2 linked regions of the Rattus norvegicus genome follow. The protein of the gene in region 1 interacts with the protein of each later gene in a pairwise test. Links are inferred from orthologs where the notes say so. Each region holds a gene or a part of one and is shown in the gene's direction. Other genes may lie near its edges.

Region 1 (5,911 bases):
AGGAATTTATATATACGTATGCATGTACACGTTCATCCCTTCAGTGCTGTGATAATTTTATAGATTTGATTTCCTCATTACCTTTAGTTTTCTTACATACCCTCTATACACTTTTTTCACTTTCTGTGCTGTCTGGAACCAAACCCCTGGCCCGGGTGCATACTAAGTAACCATTCTACGGCTGAGCTATGCCCCCAAACACAATCAGTTTAGCTTGAGGCAGGTAAATCTTTTAACAGAACTAAATAAAGGCACATGATACTACTTATCAGTCTGTGCACATGTGTAATGAGGTCTGTATTCATTTGAAAGGCTGATATTAAAAAGAAAACATTAACTTTGAATGTAAAAATTTTATATTTACCGTTATGTAATATATGCTTGGGATTTATCTGGTACTTTCTCTGTTCAAAGAGAGTATCTGTCTGTCTGTCTGTCTGTATGTATGTATGTATGTATCTATCTATCTATATATCTATCTATGCACATTTTTTTGCTTCCACTGGGAATGAAAGGTAACATTGCGATGTTCCTAAAATCAGCTACGTATTGATCTTCCTTTCATTTTTAAAATGCAGTATTATGGGTATGTAATTGCTTAAGCCAGTGTAACCCAAAAATAGACCCTGAAAGCCTACCTGGTAGATTTCTAAGCCAGTGGTTGCACAGGACTGGCTGGGATTGAGCAAAGAAGAAAGGAAAAAGGGGTCAGAGGCCATCTGTGAGTTGTGGCCTTTCAAGGAGTTTTCTTATCACACACTAGGCATTTCCCATCATTCTCTTTGGCAGCTATATAATACTTGAAAGCAGTTATTTCATATAATGAAACAGGGATAATTTATTGAAATATAGAAAATGGTGTAGATCATATACAGTTGAAAGCTTTTGCATATGTATGTTATTTTACTCTGTTTCTTAGTCGTGGAAGGGGGTCTTGGGGTGGGGTCTGCCTCTGTAGTCCAGGCTGCCCTGCGGTCTCCAATCACAATAGATTCTCTTGACTCTACCATGAGGGTGCTGGGCTTCCTCTGCTGCTGCCTCTGCAGTGCAGGTCAGTGTGGGTTAACCAGCTGTCCTTTACTTGGCACAGTTTGCTGCTGCTAGTTCTGCTGAATGTGACACTGTTTCTGAAGTTGTCAAAGATAGAACACGCCACCCAGTCCTTCTACCAGCTTCACCTCCAAGGAGAGAAATCTTTAAAGTAAGTTCCCCGCCTCAGCCCTGCCTGTTTCTCTGTTGTAGAAAATTTAACTTTAGAGACTTTGGTCTGCTGTATCTTGTCATGCACGCTTAGTTCTCCCCCTCCCCGCCGCCTGGGGTGGTGGCGGCGGCGGTGGCGGCAGCAGTGGGTATGATTTTGTGTTTCATTTGCAATAAATGGAGCACAATAATTTCTGTAAATGAAAGATCAGCAGCTGTTTTATGATTTAATTTTTTTCTTCTAGTTTAGTCTCTGACAGGCTCTCAAGAACGGAAAATATTCAAAAGAACAAAGATCAGGCCCACCGTTTAAAAGGAGTACTCCAGGATTCCATAGTGATGTTGGAACAGGTAGGCCAGGTTGTTCCTCAGGGGTGTGAATGGGCGGGTTGTCAGCTTGGGACGTCTGTAGACACACTTCTATAGCTGCTTACTAACTCTGCTCCCACTTCAGCATTCTCTTTTGGTTCAGGTGTTTCTCTCACTCCGTGCTTGTCCATGTCTTATAGAGAGGAGAAACCTCCTTTCTTCCTTCTATAACCATCTTGACAAATTGTCCTATCCTAGACCCCCTCTGCTCTTTGGACTAGTGCTAGGAATGTTTGACACAGCTTTGTGAAGTCTGTGCAGTAGACTTTGTGAAGAATCACAGTACCCAACCCAATGCAGGTTTGCTGAATGAGCGAATGAACGAATACAGTAAGGAATACGGAATATTTCTTGGTCTCCAGTTGCTTTGATTTTGTGAGAGAAGTCAGTTACCCTACAGGCTTTCATGTCTGTTTTTAAAAGTGCAGAGTTAAGTAGTATAGAAGTATGAAGTGGGTAGTGCTCTAGGAGCTCCGAGGCAGGGTGGTTAGGGAAGATCGTATGGGGTCAGCAGGTACAGGTAAGTTTTAGAACTGTGAAGAGGACCTTGGATTAGGAAGACATGACTCAGCCATGGGGCACGAGGTGTTCAGGGAAGAGTGGAAAAGACCACTGAGCCTTGAGGAATGTCTAAGAAAACAAGCCTTTCTCTCTGGATAGTCAGATGGACTTCCTGGAATGTACACTGAGTGAAAAACTATGGCCCTCTAGTACCTGGTAAGAACTCTCTAGAATTCATATAGCAGATACTGGAGAATCAGGTATTTGATGATCTGTTTTATTTGACCGTCTCTATCTATCTATCTATCTATCTATCTATCTATCTATCTATCTATCTATTGATGTAGATGCTCAAATCAAATACACACATATATATGTATATATACACACACATATATATGTATATATACATACACAGACATACATATACACATACACATAGATCTTTTGGAGTAAAATAACTGGCAAAAATCGAAGTCTGATTTTTGATCATTCTGTTTGCAGCTGAAGAGCTCACTCATTATGCTTCAGAAAACCTTTGATTTACTAAACAAGAACAAGTCTGGGGTGGTTGTGGAGAGCTAGTGCTGAAATGTGGAGATCAAAGAGACATCTGGACCTAGAAGACAACATCTGGAAGGAAACAGAGGATGAAGACTGTCGCGGTCAAAAGGACATTTCTGATCTTTTTATTACCGGGATTTCTACTAGAAAAGCCTTATTTAAATAACATTTACTCAGTGATTCTCACCAGTAGCCTTAAGACTCTATCTTTTCACTTCTTATAGCTATTTTCAAGCTGTGAATTTCTCTAGTGAACCATGAAATATATTTTGGAATTGAAATTCTGTGACACAAAAGGGGGGAAGGAAGACACCCTGGCTACAGTGGCTTCTCTTCTCCAGTGAGGCTTGTCACTTGATCCTTTAAATTTACGTTAGCACAGAGTCCCTGTGCCCAGTGGGGTGTGTTCATAGCTGAGTCTAAGAGCCTAAAAAGGTAAGAAGGAACCCTTTAATCACTTGTCACCTTAAAGGATCATTTTCCAAGTGCAGACATTGCAGGTTTGTATCTTTAAACTTTACAATGTCTTCATTGACTTGGCTTCAAGGCCAGTGGTCAGACCTTTTGTATGTCTGAAAGAGTCATTGACCATGTTGTATCTTAATGAAGGAATATATGTGTATGTATACACACATACATATATATATATATATATACATGTACATAAATGTGTGTATATGTATATATGTATGTAGGTACATATTTATATCTACCAAAGGTGAGATTACCCTTCATACATCCAAAAGACTGAATAGTAATTTAGGAGAAGGAAGTATTCGAGTTATTAATGCTCAGAATGAACTACTTTTAGTTTTAGAAGCCATAAGATTATTATAAAGTCTGGGCATTTCATGATGGATCAAATGAGACCATGAATTATGCTTGGATTCACCTTAGGAGGGCCCATAATGGAAGTGACCCATGCCATGGAAAAGAATTGATGGCTTTTCAGTAGCAGCTACATACAGCTTCATTCTTTATTCTTCATTCTGTGTGTAGCTTGTCTTGCTGGCAATCAGAAGATAGACAGACAGATACTCGCACTCGCCAGTAAAGACTGGGGGACGTGCGTGCTGACTGAAGTTGAGAGGCACAAGCTTGGGCTCTCAGGACAGCTGCTTAGGCATTTGTGAAAAGAAGGACTCTGTGACCAGACTTGAAATTAGCTCCGTCCCCCAGGATTTAGGGAATGTTCAGGACATATTTATTTATTGTTTTGTTCTCTAGAGGTCTTTCTAGAACACGCACATATATTTATTCTTATTGAATATCCATTGTCTTTAAGTCAATGTTGCCTTTCCCTCAGGTCACCAAAGCCAAATGTCATTGTTAACAACGCTTTTGCGAAGCCTGTAGGGAATAAAAATACTGGCTAAAGGGAAGGGTTTCTCTTCACAAGTCCTATCTACTCTCCCTGGGGAAGGGGGCTTCAGAGTAATACCTCCTGTTCCGTTTTGTCTTGTTTTGTTTTGTTTGTTTAGGAACATAGGAAGTATCTGGCTGTATGTTAGAGTGAGTGGATTAGAAACTTCAAATTGTTACATTTAGAAAAATGTTAACTGTCAGAGTGAATGTTTTTGTTGTTTCTCTCAGACTACTTTATCACATACCTCAAAGGTTACCAACGTTGCTTTGTAGATAAAACACTAAATATGTATGTAGAATTAAGATCTTAATCTGTTATATATAGATTGACTTCAATAAAACCCAAAATGTCTAAGTTGCTGTTCTTCTGTTTCTGCTTAAAAACCAAACCAAACCAAACCTAGAAAGCCTGGGGTAGGGAAAACCTGTACGTAGGCCCACAGTTCTCACAGATTTGTGCAGCGACGAAACCCTAGAGAGGACTCTCTTGGGCAATTTCATTGCAAATGCGCAGACTACTGAATCAAAAGTACCACAGAGGCCTGGCTGGAAGGCAGCCCCAGCCACCAGGACTCGCGAGCATGCACAAGTTGGATAAGCCGGGCTTGGGAGCTACAGCGGGCCTCTGGGGAAGGTGGGTGACTCGTGGGGTGGCACCCCTTAACGCGGCGACGGTGCGGATCGAACCCAACGCCTGTTGCCGGCGCCGGAGGCCGGCGAACTCAGGCGGCGCGCGAACGCCCGGGTCTGATCCGGCGCCACAGCAGCACCCCGGCAGCACCCCGAGGGCCCGGCGCAGGTGCCCGGTGGCCCGGCCAGAGCGCGACGGGGGAGGGGCCTCGTGGGCAGGCGGCGCACGTGCGGGCGGCGGGATCCCGGCGCCGGGGGCGGGGCACCCGGAAGCGCGCGCCGACCTGCGGAGCGGAGACCCGGGGCGACTGGCTCGCTCGGCAGGCGCGCGCACCGCCGGTGCTCACAGGTGGGCGACTCCGCCCGGCGCGCCCGAGCCCTCCGTGCAAGGTCGGAGGCGCAACCGCGCCGAGGGGAGCCGGTCCTCCTCCCGGTCCCCGCCTCTGTCGGAGGGCAGGTAACTTCCCCGCCAAGGTCATTCTCCAGGCCCGCCCACGCCCTCGGAGCGGCGGGTTCCGAGTGGGCTGGACGGCGACCTCGGGGCTGCTGGGGCTCCTGGTATCCCCGGGCCGGTGGGTGGTTGCAGCGCCCGGGGCGTCGCTGCCGGCACCTGCGAGGGTGAGTTTCCACGACGCGCAGCTTTGGGGTGGGGACCGCCCGGCCCTTCCAAGCTCGCACCCGCAGGTGAACTGGGCCGCTCTAGCTCTGCTGTCCCGGGCCGCGTGGTCGGCTGTCGCCATGGGAACGGCTGGTACCCAGATGTGGCAAGCCTAGCTGGGAAGGGGAGGAGAAGATGGTCGGAACCCCAGAAGTCAAGGAGCCCCCTTTCAGGCCACGAGGAGCCCGAAAAGCCTGATGAAAACAGGACCCCTCCCCCCTTTTCTTTTTTCTTTCTTTCTTTCTTTTTTTTTTTTTTTATTGCTCAGGCGTTGGCGTTAATGAGAAGTGAAGATGTGTTTACAGGATGTGAGTTGAGTTCTCTCCACCTTTACCTTCCGAGAGCTGCTTCTTATGCCTCATGGTGACAGGTACAAATCTTTACGCTAAAAGGCAATATGAAGCCAGTAAAAAAAAAGAAAACCGAAGAGCCTGAATTGGAGCCCCTGTGTTGCTGTGAGTACATAGATCGAAATGGGGAAAAGAACCACGTGGCTGCCTGTTTGTGTGATTGTCAGGACCTCGATGAAGGCTGTGACAGGTAAGCTTACAGTTTCCAGATGCTAACCCCACTGGTTCTGTTCAGACCTCCATATATCCTTTCAGGTATGCCATCCAGAATGCT
Region 2 (6,043 bases), on another chromosome or scaffold:
GTTGGGTTCTCTAGAGGAAATTCTGATGCGCGCATCCGCCTGCCTGGAGGCGGCGGCCCGGGAGCGCGACGGTCTGGAGCAGGCACTTCGGAGGTGAGGGCTGGCCTGGCCTGGCGAGGTCTGGGGAGTCACGGAGGGGGCAGAGACTTGGCTCGGGAATGATCATGCCTGTGCTATCCCGGTTCCTCTAAGGCGGGAGAGTGAACACGAGAGGGAGGTGCGCGGACTGTATGAAGAGCTGGAGCAGCAGCTTCGGGAGCAGCGACAGCGCCGGCAGAGTCAGGTGGGCCCGCGCACGCCACACCTAGCCTCGCTGGCTTCTCCAGCTTCTCCAGCTCCGCCTTCCCTGATTGGTCCCTCCCCAGAGGACTCACCTCGAGAGTCCAAACTGTCCCAAGTCCAGGGAACTTCGCTCTGCCTCAGCAAGTGCCCCTTCCCACGCTCTCCACCCCTTCGCTCCCTACCCTTGCCTGCCTGCTCTGAGCCCGGAGCGAAGGCTCTAGTGCGGCTGTACATCCCAGAACCCACCCCGGGAGGAAGAGAGGGGCCACCTGGAGCTGGAGCTGCAGACCCGAGAGCAGGAGTTGGAGCGCGCAGCCCTGAGGCAGCGAGAGGTAAGCCGAATTGAGTTCACTTTGGCGTCCTCGCACAGGCTCAACTTCTTTGTGTGTCTTGTGCCTTGGGGTTCTCAACCAGGAGCCGCAAGGGTGAGGGGTCAGCTTAGCACCGGAGGGGTGTGGTTTGCCAGCCTGCATTCCACCATTCCTCAGTTGGAACAGCAGCTGCAAGCCCGGGCTGCAGAACAGCTAGAGGTACAAGCCCAGCACATCCAGTTGCAGAGGGCCTATGAGGCCTTACGGGCACAGCTGGACCAGGCGCAAGAGCAGCTCATCCGACTGGAGGGCGAAGCACAGGGTCGTCAGGAGCAAACCCAAAGGTGTGGTGAAGTGCCTGTGGTGAGGGTCGTGGATCTCTTCCACCACCTTGCATCTGATTGACTACCTTCTCTCCACAGAGATGTGGTTGCTGTCTCCAGGAACATGCAAAAAGAGAAACTCAGCCTCCTAAGGCAGCTGGAGCTGCTGAGGTGGGTCAGGCCTGCCTAAGCTAATGTGGAGAAGTGGTTTCAAGTTTCCAAATATTATTGACTCCTACCCATGTTGCTGGAAGTCCTTACGTCTGCCCTGTAGCCTTCAGGCTGCAGGCTCTCTAGTCCTCTGGACTCAGGGAAAGCATCTCCCCCACACACTTTTCCCTCTAGATCTTAGTCTCCTCGGTCTCTTACCTCTCTTTTCTAGGGAGCTGAATCTGAGGCTTCGAGATGAGAGAGATGCCTGTGAGACTAAGCTGCTGGGCAGTAGCCACAGGAAGGCTCTAGCTATCGCCCACAAGCCGGGACCTATCTACTGCTGCTGTTGTTGTGGCTGGGCTCGGCCCCCCAGACGAGGCTCTGGCCATCTTCCTAGTGCCCGATGACCAGCCAGCCACCAAATGACTCACTTCCTTATCCAGAGGACTATTCTTAGGAGGGGATTGGTCTTGGGTGGCGGTTGCTTGCTAAGTATGTAGCTCTACCCAGAAAGCATCCCATGCCTGAAGGAACTAACCCTCAGAGTGGTCAGGTCTTCAGTCTTTATCCTGTCTTCCTTAATCTTTGTCTAAAGGACCAATAAAGGCCACTGTATACTGTGCATTCCTTGGTTTTTGTGTGTTTGGGAGCTACAGTGCATTTGTGGTTCGTGCACTGGGTAACACGGAGAGATTTACAGGTGCACATTACCCAGTCGTTCCTGCCCCTGTGGGTCCCCTTGTGCTTGTGTATGTTCTGTGGTTCACCAAGCCCTCACCATCCCTCACAGCTGAAGATCCAAGGACTCAGGTTTCAACAGGTGTAAACTCCCGGGTGCTGGTCCTCAAATGGAAGGTCCCGCCCCTCACTTCCGTGAGGTCAACTAGCGCTCTGGTCCAGACCATCATCCTTCTGGCACAGTTCCTAGACAGACCATATGCAATCCACACTGGGTTCCTCTCGCAGGGCCCTTATGTCTCTGTGGGACCTTTCAGAACCCTCCACACTCGATCTGGAGCTCCCCCTCTGGCATTTCCTCAACCGCTAGAACCTGCAGCTTCAGAGTTGTTCTCCCGGCTTAGACTGGAGAAGAAATTGGTCTTGACCTCAGTTCTGGGCCTCTAGTGCCACCTTCCCCACCTCTTCGCTCCCCACCTGGGTTCTTTCTCCAGCCTAGCTCCTCTATTTCTGGATGAGTCCGAGGTTTTGATAAGAACGGGTGCCCTCAAGCTAACTTTACAGACCCACAGGGCAGATCTCCAGGTCTCTCCCTTGCGCCTTAGCACCAAACCAGTTAGGACTTGCCTGCCCCAGCCGGCCGTGGGCGGGGCTGCGCCTGGGGCGGGGTCGCGCGCGGGGCGTGTCCTCGCAGGCCCCGGGCCGAGCATTCTCTGTACTCCGAATGAGCGCTCCTACAGTGGCTGCCGGGGCTGGTATTTCAAAGCGTGGTTGGTGAGTGCTCCGAAGCCGAAGGGTATGGGGAGCAGTGTCCTGAGTTCCTTGCTTACTGGTGTTCCTAGTCTCCGTGGCTGGCCTCGGGGCCACCCAGGAGGCAGAGCCCGTAGGACAGGGCTGCAGGCTCCTTTCCGGAAGATCGACGCCGGGGCAGGGCAGCTAGAAGCGCGGCGGGAAGGGGGAGGGGTAAGGAAGAGAGCCTCTGTGGTTCTTGGGCAGGCCTGGCGGTCTCTTTCGTGGAGAAACCCGGAAAGTTAAAGTCTGATCACCCTATTCATTGTCCCTGGACACCGGTTCCCTCCCCTGAGACCGCAGGTCCGCCCACTGGCACGGGGCGGAGGCGGGCGGCAGGGACGGTGGTGACTTCATCTCTGTGACGCGGGGATTCCTCGCCCAGCCGACTTCAGTATTTCATCCCGTCGGTGGGGCGGGTGCCCGGTGCCATGGAGGGCTCAGGGGAGGTACTGGAGCTGAGTGTAGGGAGGTAGTGTCCTGGCCGCAGGAGCTATTTCTGGCTGGTCCCGGCTCCCACGCGGACACTTTCTCAGGGAATTTACATTCAGTCTGCTGATTGTGCCTTGGCTTAGGTTGCTGGGTATGTCGAGAGAACCAGCTCCCCATAGGTTCTGGGCTTTTAGAGCCTAGCCCCGGGGTTTGCATTGTGGCTAGCCAAGCTTCTGTTTATGTCATTGCCCGCATCCAGTGAGGCAGCATGTATTTTTGGGTCCCATCTCCGATTGGAGGTCTGAAATCTCTCCCACTTCCAGAAGTGGACGGTTGATGCATCCTCCTTCAGTTTGCAGTCGCTGCTGTTTGGTGGGGAGGGAATGTGATGGATGAGCCTGGAGGGCGGGGCACCTGGAGAAGGCATTTGTTCCTCCCTAGATCAGGCAGGCCAGCAATGTTCTCTGGCCTACTGCCGTCCAGTAGAGAACAGTAGGCTTGGCTGTTATGCTTCCTTGCAGATCTGGTGGCTCTGAGAATCATTCTGATTACTGCTTCAGACACCATAGGAGTGGCAAGATCCCACCTGCCAGGTGAAGGGCGGGCAGATCAGTGACTTTGACCTGTACCTGCTGGTCCTGACTTCCAGAGGTGAGTGCTGGGGCTTGGGCAGATCCTTAAGGTAGCCGGCTAAAAGTTCTGTTTAGGTGCCTGTCTGGGAGCCTGGCCTGGCTCAGCTGAGGTTTGTACACTGTCCTCAGATGCTAGTGTGTCTAGGGGACCCCTGGAGGACGGCACATGCACATCTGTGGAACTGGGGAGCAGATTGCACAGGCTCCACCTACCGGCATTTTATTGTCTCTGCCCTGGCTGGTGGTAAAGTCGGCTGGCGGTAAAGAGGCTCAGAGTCCTCACAGTGTACCTGAGGGTGGCCTGAACTCGCTGCTTCTCTGCCATCTCTGGGGATGGGTATGAGTTGTAAGTACCTATCAGCCTGATCGTGGGGCTCAGGAAATGCTTGAGGGTGTCTATCCACAGGAATGTACCCTGAAGGCCTGCTGGAGCTTCCCCTAGTTGCCAGCAGGAGTGAGTCAGCAGATGTTTTGGGGGTCCTCCATGATAACCCAACATGTGTGTCTGGCCGTGAGGGGTTAGTCCAGGAAGTGACTCACATATGGTTCCTGGGAAGGCTCCTCTTAAGGCAGATAGCTGGCCGGACTCCAAACTCTGCAAGCATCTGGGGACTGCTGCATCCTCTCTGTCTTCATCGGTGTATAGCTTTCTTCTTAGTTGGAGGCCTGGTGCTTCAGGCCATCTGACCTCCTCCCCATTTCTCCAGGCCCAGGATGGGGGAATTCAACGAGAAGAAGGCAACATGTGGCACAGTCTGCCTCAAGTATCTGCTGTTCACCTACAACTGCTGCTTCTGGGTGAGAAGAGCTACATTCTCCCTGCATCCCTATTCCCCATGTTGGAGGCCTGGCCTAGGAGCTCAGTCCCAGCTTCCAGACCCAGGCCTCATGTGGTGACCACTATATACTTTCCGCAGCTGGCTGGCCTGGCCGTCATGGCAGTGGGCATTTGGACACTGGCCCTCAAGAGTGACTACATTAGTCTGCTGGCTTCAAGCACCTACCTAGCAACAGCCTACATCTTAGTGGTGGCTGGTGTTGTTGTCATGGTGACTGGAGTCCTGGGCTGCTGTGCCACTTTCAAGGAGCGACGGAACCTGTTACGCTTGGTCAGCAGGGCCTGGTGGCACCTGGTGGGGCTAGGGATGCCTGACATGGATTTCTCAGGGGTCTCTGGTACTGGTTCTGGGGGCCTGACTTGTTGAGTGTATTCCTGTAGGCTGTCCCTGTTGAACTCACTGGGGCAGACACCAGCTTCCAGAGAAGTATCAAGGAGCTAGGCAGCCCAGAGTGTAATTCCTATCCACATTCCTCTTGCTTGGCCTCTTGGGTTGGGGGCTTGGCTTTGTGGTGCTTTGGCACTAGGAACCCCCCACTTACTGGGTCCCTGTTCCCTAGTACTTCATCCTGCTCCTCATCATCTTCCTTCTGGAGATCATTGCTGGCATCCTGGCCTATGTCTACTATCAGCAGGTAAGGGCCTGAACAGGCCACAGGGTAATGTCCGGAACGAGGCTGTCAGTCCCACTGGAGGTCTTGACCAGCTTTGCCCTTACGAGTTTAATCCTACCCACAGCTCAACACCGAGCTCAAGGAGAATCTGAAGGACACCATGATCAAGAGATACCACCAGTCAGGCCATGAGGGTGTGACCAACGCTGTAGACAAGCTGCAGCAAGAGGTGGGTGCCCCCCCTGTAACTCCCAGCCTTCTAGGCATGGCGTTGTGTGCTGGCGGGCTGTGAGTCTCAGCCACATACCCCTTGTAGTTCCACTGCTGTGGCAGCAACAACTCTCGAGACTGGAGAGACAGCGAGTGGATCCGCTCTGGTGAGGCAGACAGCCGTGTGGTCCCTGACAGCTGCTGTAAGACTGTGGTAACTGGCTGTGGTAAGCGGGAGCACGCCTCCAACATCTATAAAGTGGAAGTAAGTGTGCTCAGCCTGGGTGGGGCTGGGCTGGGCTGGTCTTCAGGCAGCCTGGTCCAGTAGGGCTGTATGTGGGAAACCGGTAACGTTCACCACCATTATCTCCCGCTAGGGTGGCTGCATCACTAAGCTGGAGTCCTTCATTCAGGAGCACCTGCGGGTCATCGGGGCCGTGGGCATTGGCATCGCCTGTGTGCAGGTCTTCGGCATGATCTTCACCTGCTGCTTGTACAGAAGCCTCAAGCTGGAGCACTACTGACCATGGTGCCAGGCCAGAAGGCCAGCCTCGCGCTGTGTCCCAGCCCCCCACTACTGAACACTACTGAGTTAGACTGCTGACTGCCAGAGAGGTAGCTGCCCTCATGCCATTACCATGTCCCCTGGTGGCTCCACCTCCGTGGTAGCTTCAAGTGCCTTTCCCTGCACACCAAAGTCCCAAAGCTTGAGGCAGCGTACTTGCCCCAGCATTAACAAGAGGGGGCATGTATGCCAGTGTTGGGCTAGGCCTGGCTAGTA

What was found.
Region 2: the proteins of Gramd1c (region 1) and Cd151 interact in binary tests that used the Homo sapiens proteins (3 or more experiments, as listed by UniProt). The link is inferred for Rattus norvegicus from reciprocal best matches to the Homo sapiens genes GRAMD1C and CD151.

Annotation. Positions count from the first base shown.
Region 1 is NC_086029.1:70,220,125-70,226,035, forward strand, and holds the end of Gramd1c (protein Aster-C), read left to right. Parts: intron 1-1,090; coding exon 1,091-1,201; intron 1,202-1,445; coding exon 1,446-1,551; intron 1,552-2,574; coding exon 2,575-2,655; 3' UTR 2,656-4,354; downstream 4,355-5,911. Other genes in the region: palmitoyltransferase ZDHHC23, read left to right, coding at 5,685-5,827. UniProt on the Homo sapiens protein: Cholesterol transporter that mediates non-vesicular transport of cholesterol from the plasma membrane (PM) to the endoplasmic reticulum (ER).
Region 2 is NC_086019.1:205,991,825-205,997,867, forward strand, and holds the start of Cd151 (CD151 antigen), read left to right. Parts: upstream 1-2,475; 5' UTR 2,476-2,521; intron 2,522-2,850; exon of another isoform or gene 2,851-3,119; intron 3,120-3,489; 5' UTR 3,490-3,619; intron 3,620-4,307; 5' UTR 4,308-4,314; coding exon 4,315-4,398; intron 4,399-4,517; coding exon 4,518-4,709; intron 4,710-4,998; coding exon 4,999-5,073; intron 5,074-5,176; coding exon 5,177-5,281; intron 5,282-5,368; coding exon 5,369-5,527; intron 5,528-5,639; coding exon 5,640-5,786; 3' UTR 5,787-6,043. Other genes in the region: Cracr2b (EF-hand calcium-binding domain-containing protein 4A), read left to right, coding at 1-93, 193-283, 522-614, 771-937, 1,016-1,087, 1,299-1,476. UniProt on the Homo sapiens protein: Structural component of specialized membrane microdomains known as tetraspanin-enriched microdomains (TERMs), which act as platforms for receptor clustering and signaling.